Mytilus edulis: one gene and its partner. The protein of the gene in region 2 purifies or fractionates together with the protein of the main gene of each other region. This does not show direct contact. Links are inferred from orthologs where the notes say so. Each region holds a gene or a part of one and is shown on either strand. Other genes may lie near its edges. The genes, in order: protein Abitram-like and tRNA pseudouridine synthase Pus10-like.

Evidence for each region.
Region 1: the proteins of tRNA pseudouridine synthase Pus10-like (region 2) and protein Abitram-like purify together in Homo sapiens (affinity purification with mass spectrometry; 3 studies listed by BioGRID and IntAct, counting the BioPlex papers as one, with this or other methods). This does not show direct contact. The link is inferred for Mytilus edulis from reciprocal best matches to the Homo sapiens genes PUS10 and ABITRAM.

The regions. Positions count from the first base shown.
Region 1 is NC_092345.1:85,786,661-85,793,223, forward strand, and holds the start of protein Abitram-like, read right to left. Parts: upstream 3,962-6,563; 5' UTR 3,854-3,961; coding exon 3,742-3,853; intron 1-3,741. Other genes in the region: 2-amino-3-carboxymuconate-6-semialdehyde decarboxylase-like, read left to right, coding at 4,082-4,138, 5,399-5,540. UniProt on the Homo sapiens protein: Actin-binding protein that regulates actin polymerization, filopodia dynamics and increases the branching of proximal dendrites of developing neurons.
Region 2 is NC_092346.1:6,421,191-6,427,753, reverse strand, and holds the start of tRNA pseudouridine synthase Pus10-like, read left to right. Parts: upstream 1-3,201; 5' UTR 3,202-3,243; coding exon 3,244-3,264; intron 3,265-6,307; coding exon 6,308-6,439; intron 6,440-6,563. UniProt on the Homo sapiens protein: Protein with different functions depending on its subcellular location: involved in miRNA processing in the nucleus and acts as a tRNA pseudouridylate synthase in the cytoplasm.

The DNA of each region.
Region 1 (6,563 bases), on a different chromosome or scaffold from region 2:
AAATCACTGATTCAAGTAACATTATTTCCATAAAGGTTGGAAGTTAGAGTTGTCTTTCTTTAATAATCACCTATTTAAGTAGTACAAATTAATCACTAGAAGAAGTGATTTAATATTAGTGTACTTTAAATATAGAATACTAATGATCCAGGGACTAATTATGTTTCTAAACTTATCAGAACCAACATCTGTGTTGTCTAAGATGACCAGGTCTTTTCAGGTGATGGTCTTGTACTAAATCTAGGATAATGACATAAAAATCACTTGTTTAAGTATCAAACTTCAATTTCCTTCCCAAAAAATACTTCTTTAAGTATCATTCTTTTAATAACCCCCACTAATTTTAACACCCCCGAACAGTGAAATTTTTATCGCGAACAGTAGAATTATATTACATAATCTGAAAGATGAAACCTTGAACTTCACAGGAAAAATACTCCCACTGCTGGGAAAAATCTTTGAAGAAAGTATCAGTTCATTATGTAAAGCTATTATTATAGCATTTTTTCAAATAAAATAGAATTTTCAGGTAAATGATAGCATCAAAGGCATAAACCTTGCTTCCCCATTTTGTTGGTTTAGCAGGCATGTATTGCTTCAATGCAACCCTTCCCTTGTATGGTATCATACACTCATCTATCGATACATTTCGTTTTGGTATATATTGATCTTTCATTTGTTGGTTAAGGGCGTCCATAAAGTATCTGACTTTGTAAGTACTGTCGTATTTAGGCTCCCCTCTTTGTGGAACTCGCTGGTGAGGATCAGTAAAATGTAGATATCTCATAATCTGCATGAACCTGTCACGTGCCAAAACTGTGGCAAAATATGGGGTTTCCAAACAATCTTTAGACCAGTAAGACTTTATATCTGGCTTTACATCAATACCCATTAGGAAAGTTATACCAATAAAAGCCTTCATCTCGGGCAAGGAGGGACAAGACCAAGCTGATTTGTTTAGATCAGGATTCATATCTTTTTGCATCTTTGCATAGCTATCAGTTTTTTCAATTATCTGTTGTAAAAGGTTGTCAGATAAGAACAGTTGGAAAAAGTCAATTATATCCTTCTCTGGGCCTAATATATTTTGTGGGCCAGTAGTATTTCTAGGTTGGAACAGATGGGGGAGACCTCTTTCAAAAATATCAAATTCTTGGTGCCATCCATCATTGTTGGGGGCATCACCGGCATTATTTACGTCAACAAGTTGCGGTTCATCATTATTGTCATCTGACAGATCACTTTCAACATCACTTATCAGGAAATCATCTCCTATGCCATTTTGGGCTAATTGTACTTGATATCTTTGGCAAGCAAGTTCAATTTCACCCGCCGAAAACCCCTCAAGCTCGTCCTCTGAAGTGTCGGACATTTTTGTATTTTTAAAATGTTACAGACGACATTTTACTATATTTACTATGATTTAGGCATCCTTGACACCGAGCAAGTGGGAGAGAAAAGTGATTGGATAGTTTTATTTAGATTTTCCATAAAAGGAGTGCGACCTTTTGCACTCGTCGGAAAATGGAATAGCCGCGCCCACGGAAGTCCAATTATTTATACTTGACTTTTATTCTCCGTGGAGTTTTTAAAAGCATTTTTCGTAATTTTAATCATTATATAAATCAAATTAATAATGAAATTATATTTGACTTTCCTTCCAAATAACATTTTCTTGACCTAAAAGGTCACATGTTCGCATCACATGTATTGTACAAAATGGTGATGACTTATTTTGTTTGTTGACGCTACCGATCTTTCATTGTATTGTGGTAAATATTAGGTGTCAAACCCAGTAAGAATACGTATTCTTATACTGTAACATGCAAGCTTGTTGAAAACCTGGATATCTATTGGGTTAAACGCAGCTTTACGGGGGAAATGAGTTAAAAAGACGAAAATTATTTTCATCACGTGATTGTCAATGCATGAAAGCATTGTTCGGCCTGGCTACGGGGATGACTCAACGCATTGTTCGGCCTGGCTACGGGGATGCCTCAATGCATTGTTCGCCTTGAAAGGGTTATTAAAAGAAGCAAAAAGTTCATATTTTTTAATTTTACTAATTAGAAGATGTTATTTAAACCTATGTTTTTAAAATTTTGAAAAAACTACAAAATCCTAATTTGTGACAAAACCTTGAATTTGCTACTCAAATAAGTGATTTAAAAATCACTTATTTCAGTAAGTCCCCTGACTGCTTATTGAGTCCTCCGAAAGTTTCAGTTTTGTCCAAGCTTGCTGCATCTCTTGAGAATGCATGTGTACAGCAATTCTTTTGTTGAAACATTTGTACTATTGACCATGATTGACTTTTGATAATGAAAGTCAAGTATTAACAAAGAGCTCCATTCACCTGTGGAGTTGTACTCATGATCACACGACTGCAGACAGTAATGATGTCCATTGACAGGTGATTACAGGTAAATTTGCCAATCAAGAATTGACAAGATAACAATAGAAGAAACTTCAAATACAATTATTGACTAAATGCAATATGTTATGTCACTATACTAAACTAGGAATGTTTGACAAGTTTTTATACCATAATATGGTTTTAAGAAAGGCAGTGTCTGCACGTACCCGCATGTGGGTACGAATAGTCAAATTGACATTCGTAGGCTATGCGTACCCACATCCGGTTTTTATAATAAAATGCAATCAAATCGGGAATTAAACGTGAAATATATACAGAAATTATCGATAATATGGGGATTTCGAGTAGAACGAGTGAAGGGTATATGACAAATAATATTTTCGAATTGTATTTATAAGTTAATAATATATAATAAACCTTGCAATTAAATACACACTGATTGAAAATGAAATATACATTACCATGATTACAGTCCCTGTAAACTATAGTCCTATAATATATAATATCCGAATTTTAAGTTGCTTCCACGCCTCAGAGGCAAACTATTTTTTGATGCGCTGAAGGTTTACATTTTCGTCAAACATTTTGTTATTTATTAACGAAGCTTTCATAGAAGATTATTGGCATCGGCCTTTGTTTTTCAGATTAATGTATTAGGCCTTAATTTTTCCTGTCGAACTTGTTTAGAATTTTTTGCCTCCGTGAATACAAAAAAATATTCTGTAAAACTTGATTTCCTCTTTATTTTTTGTGTTTCCAGTTCTTCTTTTCTCTGCAGCTGCAATTGACTCCGAGTTTGTTTTTATATATACAATTGTATAAAATTAATCGACTAATACTTTTGAACAAATTGTTCAGCCAATTCATGATAACTTTGAGAATGTCTGCCCCACATGTATATCACTCTTTTCCCATTTCAAGTATATTTATTAACCGAGAAAAACTGTTGACTTACATATAATCATGATAATATATAAATGTTTACAAAACTTCTAAGTAGTTGATCAATTTTATTCACTAATTGCGATAATTTCTGTATATATTTTACGTTTAATTCCCGATCCGATGGCAATTTATTATAAAACCGGATGTGAGTACGCGTAGCCTACGAACGGCAATTTTGCTATTCGTACCCGCATGCGGGTACGCGCAGACACTGCCTTTAAGAAAACAATGCTTCATTTTGGTGGAATAATTTGTTTTGAAAAACAAAGAATTATACACCAATTGGTCTATACCATTATATGTCAATTTGTCTATACCATTATATGTCAATTGGTGGATTATACGTCAATTGAGGTATAATCCACCAATTGGTGGTTATTCCTGACCTGTTTAAGATAAATACTCGAAATGTAGATTACCTAGAATATACTTTGGTTTATAGTATCTTTCGACTACACTCAAGTGAGTTTTGCCAGTTACAGTTTTAGATTCAGATTGAGCATTGATCACATGCTCTTTGTCAGTTTCCATAACCTTAGAGATTTTAAGAAGGCTTAATTAACATGCAAGGCAGTAGAGATGCTGACAATATTGAAATGTGGTCTACTTTCACTTTAACCGGAAGTTGGAAGTACAGTAGAAAAAGAAAGTCTTCCGGAGAGGATACGACTTATTTGACCCTGCCTCCAAAACTGATTGCTTTGATTGGTTAAAGTTTATTGTAGTAGCCTTCACCTTTACCATCTGACCTGGCTAAATATGAAGATCGATCTCCATACACACATTTTACCAAAAAGCTGGCCTGATTTAGAAAAGGTTGAGTTTCTTAATATGTAAAATCATTTTGCAATTATATCTAAAATAGAATGCCAAATTGTCCTTCAAAAAGGTCATTTTGAAAAACAATGCATGTGTTGGTAATCTAGTACTACATGTAGCAGCAGTTAAGAATAAAAACGAATGTATGAACCTGAAGGTAAAGGGCATCCATACCCTCATATAACATGTTAATGTATAATGGAATTTGATGTGACTGTCTTACTAGTGTGATGTTGAGTTAGCTATAAAACCAGGTTTAATCCACAATTTTCTACTTGAAGAAAAAGCCAGTACCAAGTCATGAATATATGACAGTTGTTATCCATTCTACTGATGTCTTTGAGATTTTAATTTTGCCATTTTACAAGGGACTTTCTGATTTGAATTTTCCTCAGAGTTTAGTATTTTTAGTATTTTACTTTTTATACATGTATGTTGTCAAGGACGTATAACTAACATATAACTAATATACGTCCTTGATGTTATATTCTTATATGAGATACGATGATCATGATGATAATGCAACCTATAAATTTGAAATAGAATTCTTAAAACAATGTTATACATGTTATATATCTAGAAAATTTTAAATTAATAGAAACAGGTACACATGTATGCATATTTCATGTTTTATATTTATGTTTACATGTTAGAAGAAATAAATTCAAATACTCATGGTTTAATGTAATACTAGTGTATAATTAGTTATAAAAACCTAATAAAACCACAAAAATCTCTCAAGACAACATTAGATACCTTTTTGAAAATTTTAAATGAAGAAAATTTACTAGACATCTTAATTGTCATGTTCCTATTACAAATGTAGTATATGTAGTGATCAGCTATGATAACAACTAAGTTTTAGAAGCTCTAGTGAAGTTCTTTTAAAAGTGAACATGCTGTGGATTTGTTTATTTTTGTTGATACCAATTTCAACAAAACGACAACAAAACAAATTTTGTGGATTGTGGAAAACTTGCCTTTTTTGTAAATGTTAGATTTCAATTCGTGGTTTTGAAAAAGTCTGCATACAAACTTATAGAAAATTTGTTATTCATTAAACATTTAAATTCCTGGTTCAATGTACCCACAAAATCCATGACAGTTGGTATCTAAGGAATAATAATGAATCCACAGTAAAATGGACACAAGATGAAATTTGTGTTTACGAATGATAAACATGATAAATATAATTTGGATTTTAGAGATACATTTATGGAAATTGGGCACCAATGATAAAAATTTCTTTGATTTTAGAGATATGGATATGGAGGTTGGGTACAGATGGATCATAGCTGTCCAGGTGTGGCTAACATGATGAAGAATGGCAAATTTTTTAGAAAGGTTGAGGAGAATTGTTGGTGTGCTGAAGCCAGAATAAGAGATATGAATGATACAGGTCAGTACCATGAATTACTCATGTTTTCCATGATGAATCTTTTACTTTGAAATAAGTGGTGCAGAGGCATGCATTTAAAAAAAAACCGCAACAAACATGATCATTATGACAAAAGGTAGCAAATTTATTAAAATACTTAAAAACATGGTCAAAAGCTATCATGGCTATATTATTCTGATTAAAATCATGAAAATACATATGTATACATGATCAATATAAAGGAGCTTTCTTTTTTAGGAAAACAACTTCAAATAATCCTTAATCATGTTAATATGAAAATAACTGTGGATTGACTTGTCATAGTCTAGACTTGATACATACACTTTTGTTAACAATAACCATGATAACAGAAGTTATATTAACAGAACAAATAAAAATCATTTTTCATCATTTCCATGATTTCAGAGGCAACTAAAACATTTTTTTGTAAAAAGACATTTTTAATAATACTGAGTCAACATTGTCAAACAATAATACATGGTAGCCATTAAAAATGAAAGGAGAAGGTGCTATAAGGGGCAAAATTGGCCCCACTTCAGAATCTATTGATATTTCTTTCAATTGATATCTATGATATGGAGCTTATAAAACACCAGGAATTATATAGTTATCTCTTGCCGTTTTTTTGTTATGACGTCATAATAATGGTATGCCGATTAAGCTATAATATCAAATTTTTACGTATTTTATCCTTGTTTTATGTATTGTGTATATTTTACAATAGATTACAACGGGAATACATTATTACTAGTGAACCATTGTATCAATACAACGAACACAAAAATTGATATAAAGTTTAACTATTTAATATCAGAAATATAATTGCTATGGTAACAACAAAGTTAACATTCTTTCTATGTATGACTAAATTATAGAAATGTTTCACAAGAGAAAATCTACAGTTATTGTTTGTATAAAAAAGAAGATGTAGTATGATTGCCAATGAGACAACTGTCCACAAGAGACCAAAATAACACAGATATTAACAACTATAGGTCACCGTACGGCCTTCAACAATGAGCA
Region 2 (6,563 bases):
ATCAATAACTTGAAAGTTATCTCCCATATTTTAAATTGCAAGACTTGTCAAGCTGCTTTGTAAATGTTTGGGAAGGAATGTTTAATATAAAAGTAAATAGTATAAAACTAAGAGTAAATCATTGTCATTCTTTTACAATTAGTACATAATGTAGAGTTAGAAATGGGATAAATAAAAATAAACTATAAAATTTGAAAAAAAAATCATTTGTGATCTGTTTTGAAAAAAAACACCAAAAAATGGGAAACAACTCTATTTTACATGATGGTATGAAATGAAGTAACCTCCCTTGAGTAGTGTTGGTGACTGATGGAATTTTATATAAAACAATGACAAATATGTCATTTTTATCAAAAGCTAAATGAACCACAGAATTGTACATAAATTTATGATATTGATAATACAAAGCAACCAAAAGAAAATACAAATACATGTAAACATGGTAAATGTACAGAGAGAACAGGAAATTTACAACTTTTATATGAAGATAAAAAAAACTAGAAAAAAAACTATTTATCAATCAGGGCTCACGCTACCAGGCGACTTGGGCGAAGTAGTCGCCTTCCCGACCGTCACTTCGCTTTCCCCAACCCCCAAAAGCGAAAACAAGTAGCCCTGTTCTTGACGATACTCGCTTTCAGTCGCTTCCGTCATCGGACATTTCAATTTTTACCAAGTTGATGAAACATCAATTTTTTATTGATAATTTAAGAAATTCAGACATAAACAGTTCATTATCTTTAGAAAAGAGGTTGAAGCATTGTCTTCGCAGTGTGGAGCAGGTTATTTGATAAAAATACAACTTTTTATCACTTCGTGCATTTCCGCAAGTTCCGGTGCTTGTTACTCGAAAACGTACATCAACCAAAATTTCGGCAGCAAAATAAGTTTGTTACTTCATTTAAACGTGATAAAAGCTGCCTCCAGTAAATGTTTAATCCATTTATTGCATTAAAAACGTCATGTTCCTTTCCAAATAACTTGTCAAACATCGTTTATTTTTGTAAATTTTCTTGCATTCGTCCGCCATTGACCGATTTCTAAACTATGGATATGAATCAGACCAGCTATGACCGAAATCTGTACTTTTACAATAATTACTACGGACGCACGGATGGAACAGCTGACAGAAGAATATTGATCCCAAAGGGAAAAATTACACATTCCACACGCATTAAGAGACTTTTGGTTACATCTAATTGATTGGTGTATATAATTTCCTATATTTTTTATGGATTGTTTCAAACTATTGATTAAAGTTGCTTACCTCTAAGACTATTACACTAATATCAATATATTATGGCCCAGCTTAATAACTTTTATATTTTTTTATCAGAAACACTGAATTTCATACACACGATAATTTTCAATTAAATTGTAATTGATATATATTATAATTTTCTTTACATTTTTTAAAATAAAAAAATATTTTTTTAGTGCTAGATATTTATTTGGTAGTTTCTCACAAGAACCTTAGTAAAAATTCAACAACTTTTAATTTCAAATGTTACTTTAATTGTAATTTTTTTACTCAGATATGAATTGAACAATATAAAAAGAACATTATTGACATATGGCCCTTTATACTATTGTAAAATCCAAACATTGTAGCGCACCACACAAATAAGCACTTCTCTTTCAAATCTCACCACTTCTCCCTATCAGTTTCAAAAAGAGAAGTCACTTCTCCCTATAATTCTGAAGTAGTGTGAGCCCTGAATTCAATGAGACACTATGTTTGGCTTGTAATTTCACCTTTCTATATATATTCAGAAAGAGCTAAATACAATGTACTGTATCATAATAAAAATCACTTCATAATGAACATGGTCTTGTTAGTTTCAAGTTGATGTGACTGTAAAATACCAAAATTTTAATCTGATAAAAGAAGGAGAGTTCAGAGATACAAACATGTGTACAGACATGGAAAAAATATTGGCACTCTTGTCTTTTACAATGTGTTAAATATGAAAAATGGCATTACAGTAAATGGACCACTTTCAAGTTTGTTTGCTTTACCATTAAAAAACATAGGTTTTAGTGAAAATCATATGTGCCTTTTAGGGCAGCATAACTTCTTCCCCATGTTGGGAGAGCAGTTGAAAAAAAATAATGCTGTATTGCCGAGTTATTTGACAAATTAAATTCTCATAATTGATAATCGGAAATTGCAATTAATTACCAATGGAACAGCTAATTGTGCATAATGAGGCTTTATAAACTTAAAAGTACAGGGATACATGCAACCTCCTCTATCTAGAATGATGTCATAAAAAGGATCTTGAGGACATTCCTTGAAAGTATTCTATTTCTACTAATGATTTAAAATGAATATACCAAAGACAGAACATCAGTCATCACTATTACATTCCTTGTCCTTTGAAATAAGCCTCTAGATTTCAAATTTTTGTCTTGAATATGCAAGAACTATGTGCCTTTGGACATACAGCGAATAACAATCAATCATTTCATTACATGTATTTACAACATTTATGATTGGGAAAAATAATAATATCTGATATCATTTTATATACTCTGACAACTGTAAGGGTAGAAATGCCCTTTAATGTCAGGCATAAAACAATCGTTTCTGGCTGCTATTTGCGCCATATTGGTTTAAAGTTTTCTGAGATTTCGTCAAAATTCCCTTTTTTTATTCGTCAAAGGTCTGAAATTATTCATTGTAAACAGCATTTTGGGGGAAGATAAGTCCCAATTTTTTTCTATTGTCTAAAAGTATCGTCATAAACCAAAATCTACCGTTATTATCATTCGGCAAAAATTTTACTGTTATTCGTCATTAATCTGTTAATGACACTTGACATCAAGTTGCCCTCATAACGACCCTCAGGCCTCACCTATAAGATCAGTTTGAAAGAATCAAAGTTTTACGATTTTTAGGTGCAATGACATTGGAATATAATAATTTTTCTTAAATGTTGCAGCAATATAAACACTAAATTTCTGCCTCAGACTCACTCACTCAGTCTGATGTCCGGCTGCAACAATTTTCATTATTTTGTACATCCAAAAACATTCAGTTTCTATTTTCATCATGGTGTATTTTCTGCAATATGTGAAGTGTATATATATGTGTCAAATTCTTTTACAAAATTACCGTATTTCTGTTTGATTTTATGGTAAATGCATATCTGGTAAGTCTCTTCTGGTAGGGTTTGGTCAGTCCAAAACAGAAGGGAGGTAATTTCAAAACTTCCGGTTACAGAATCGCTAAAGAACAAGATGGCTGCGCCCATAATTCAAGTTCGTGTAACTTTTAAATTAGCTTTTATATGTTGTTTGCGCAATTTCATTTGATAAATATCTCCAAAAGTGTTATTTCTAAGGTCAATTTATGTTTATTAACATAATTTCTTCTCCTTTCATTCTTGCAATATGTTAAACACGTTGTGTGATTATATTGGGAAGACGGTATCGGGTTATTTCGCCCCTATTATATATTCGCCCAAGATTGGCCCGTCCCAAGATCTTATTCGCCCTAGTTTTAATTGATAAAATATACTTAAGTATTTAGGTTTTAATGTATGTTGGCCTTTCAATGATCGACATTTGAACTCGCAATTAAGTTTGGTATGTTTCTCAAAAGCTGTTTTTACCAGGTTTTTTGTTTACACGAATTGTAGCTTGTGGAGACAGAATGGGCTATTCCAGAAATACCCCCCCCCCCCCCCCCCCTATGGAAGACATCAGTTGTAAAAAAAAATTCCATGGAAATATTTTTCATCATTGCCAAAATTTTCAGGAATTCCAGAATTTAAAATCATTACACTACTTAAAAATACTGGAATTTTCTTCATAATTCAGATTAGTCCAAATAATTATGACGTCTTGAAAGGCTATTATAATGACGTCGAAGTAAGGTGTCAAAGAAAAAAATTATAATAGCCTTTCAAGACGTCATAATTATTTGGACTAGATTCAGATTGCATCAAATTTTATTTAAATCTATTCACTGAAAACTCAATGTTACGTACATGTATATTATCTTATTTCCGTAAAGATACATCAGAATTGATTTGAAAATAAATCAGACAAATGAGTCACCTGTGTTTTTCTTGGAAGTGCAGTTGTCCAGTAAGTTCGCCCATGTGTAGTAGTAGTACACATGTATGGAGGACCGGTTTACTATAACTTAACCAACAAGAACATAAGGAAATGATGTTTTATTTATGGACCACTAAGATAAGAACTATAGAAGAACAAAATTTTAAAAAAATCAATTCAATATGACAAAGGAATTGGTGAAAAAGACGAATAAACCAAAAATGTAAAAAAAAATAAAAAATCTCAAGATCAGAAAATAAAGAAAAGTAAAAAAATATGATGTTAAAAAGATAAGAATGTCAACAGCATGGTTAGTATTATTCTCATAAGAGAATTATCATCATTCAGTATTCTGGCAGTTAAAGACACCATCATCCTTGTCAATGGGTTTGAAATCTGTGCAGTAAGTAGTGATTTTAATAAATAGCCCAAAATTTTATTTCATAGTCAATATATTTTATTTCTATTCAATAGAATCTAAAGTAAATCACCAAAATACAGAAAGCATTTTTCAAACTTGATCACGCATATTTCTTAAAGATACATGATCTTTATAAAGATTTTTTTAATTTTTGTTATTTTGGCTTCCATAGTTTTTAAAATTGAATTATCTGCCTTTGATGTAGATATGATGCAGTGTTCTCCCCAGGCCCTTAAAGGACCACGGGCCTGCGATGTATAATTTTCTACCGTGGTGGTATCGGTCTTGCCGCGATGTATAATTTTTCACTGTGGTGCTAAAATTATCGGTAAAAAAAATCATATAACGGTAAACCTTTCCGTGGGGTATAACATTTCAGATGAAAATTGACCAGTTCAAACCAGTTCAATCCAGTTCTGACAAGAAGATTGTTTACACCATGTGATCGATTTACCTTTTGAGGTTAACCTTGATGATTGGATTTAATCGATGTACATGATTCTTGTGTTTTAATTAATTAAGAGATCATAACTTAATGATCACAGACTTATGAGACTTTTGAGGGACAAGCAGACATTTGTTAATAAACTCTATTACTCCAGCCTTTGGTCATAAATGATTTGCGTATTTTTAAAATTTGAGTTACTTCCCCTGATTTAGCTTATTACAACAATGTGCTCCTAAAATATTATCCATCATTTGAAATAGAAATAAAGTACAAATTGAATGCAAAATTATATATATAAGGATGTTACCTCAAGGATAAAAACTTTCTTTGAATATACCAACAAAAATATATTGCAAATTATTTTTGACAATCATACTTTTATTAAAGCACAAACATTTTATATTAAATAGGTAGTATATCCTTTTATACATCTAATGACTGAGCTAGGGCAGTATGTTGATGAAAACATCCATTTCATATATATAGCTGAAGAGTATTAAATAATCAACTTTTACAAAATAAATTTACAATGATTGGAACTCAGCTAGACATGACAACCTGTCACAAGTGTCCACATAGATAATATAAGTATACTCTTCATGTCCATTATGAAGTAACACAATAATGATTTTAATAATAATTTTATTGATGTCTAAAGCTATGGAAAATAGTATTTAATTTACTAACGGTTCTACATTAAAATTTAATCTTGTTTAACGTTAATTGTTATGGTGTAATCTAACAAAAATGGGGAATGTGTAGTGTAACTATACAAGTATAAGGACAAAATTGGCTTGATCAAAGTATAAAAAGTGACTAGTTAGAGACTAAAAGTGCTTTCTGTTATTTATTCTTAAAAGATATTAAAGTATACAAACTGTTTGATTTACTTTTTTTACCAGTATTTTTTTTTACCCAAAGTCATACAGTAAACAAAACAAAAGACAAAAAGGTAATGGCACAAAAACTAACAAGAAGAAAAAATAAGCGATGCAACGCGACACAACATATTGTACAAATCATTTCGACACGAGTTACCCTGGTGCTATCCCAAAATCCTGGGGAGAACACTGTATGATGTAAACAAATGGTTTTCTTCGATGTAAAAATTATATAGTAGATGAAATTTATGCACCACTTAGGAAAGGGCATAATTATCAGATGGGCAGAGTTACAGACGTTTGTAATTACCAAACACCACTAGTTCAAGAAGAATTAAGAGTTGTTGATAAAAAACATCATCTGTGTGCAACATCAACCAAACTAGATTTGCAATCAAGAATAGTTATTTATTATTTGGATAAATAAAAAAAATCTTTGTCAAACGCCTTGATCATGTTGATTTTACATGAGATTTTCATTTCTTTCGCTAGACTAAGATAACTTCAAACGCTGACTTACTAAGGGAGATAACTGAAACATTGAGGGAAATTGGATGTTGTCCAAGATGCATACTGAGGTACATTGGGGAAAGACAAGGAGATGTTTACAGATTGACAACACAGGTAAATAAACAATGTAAAATATTGTTTACAGACAACACAGGTAAATAAACAATGTAAAGTACTGTTTACAGACAACACAGGTAAATAAACAATGTAAAATACTGTTTACAGACAACACAGGTAA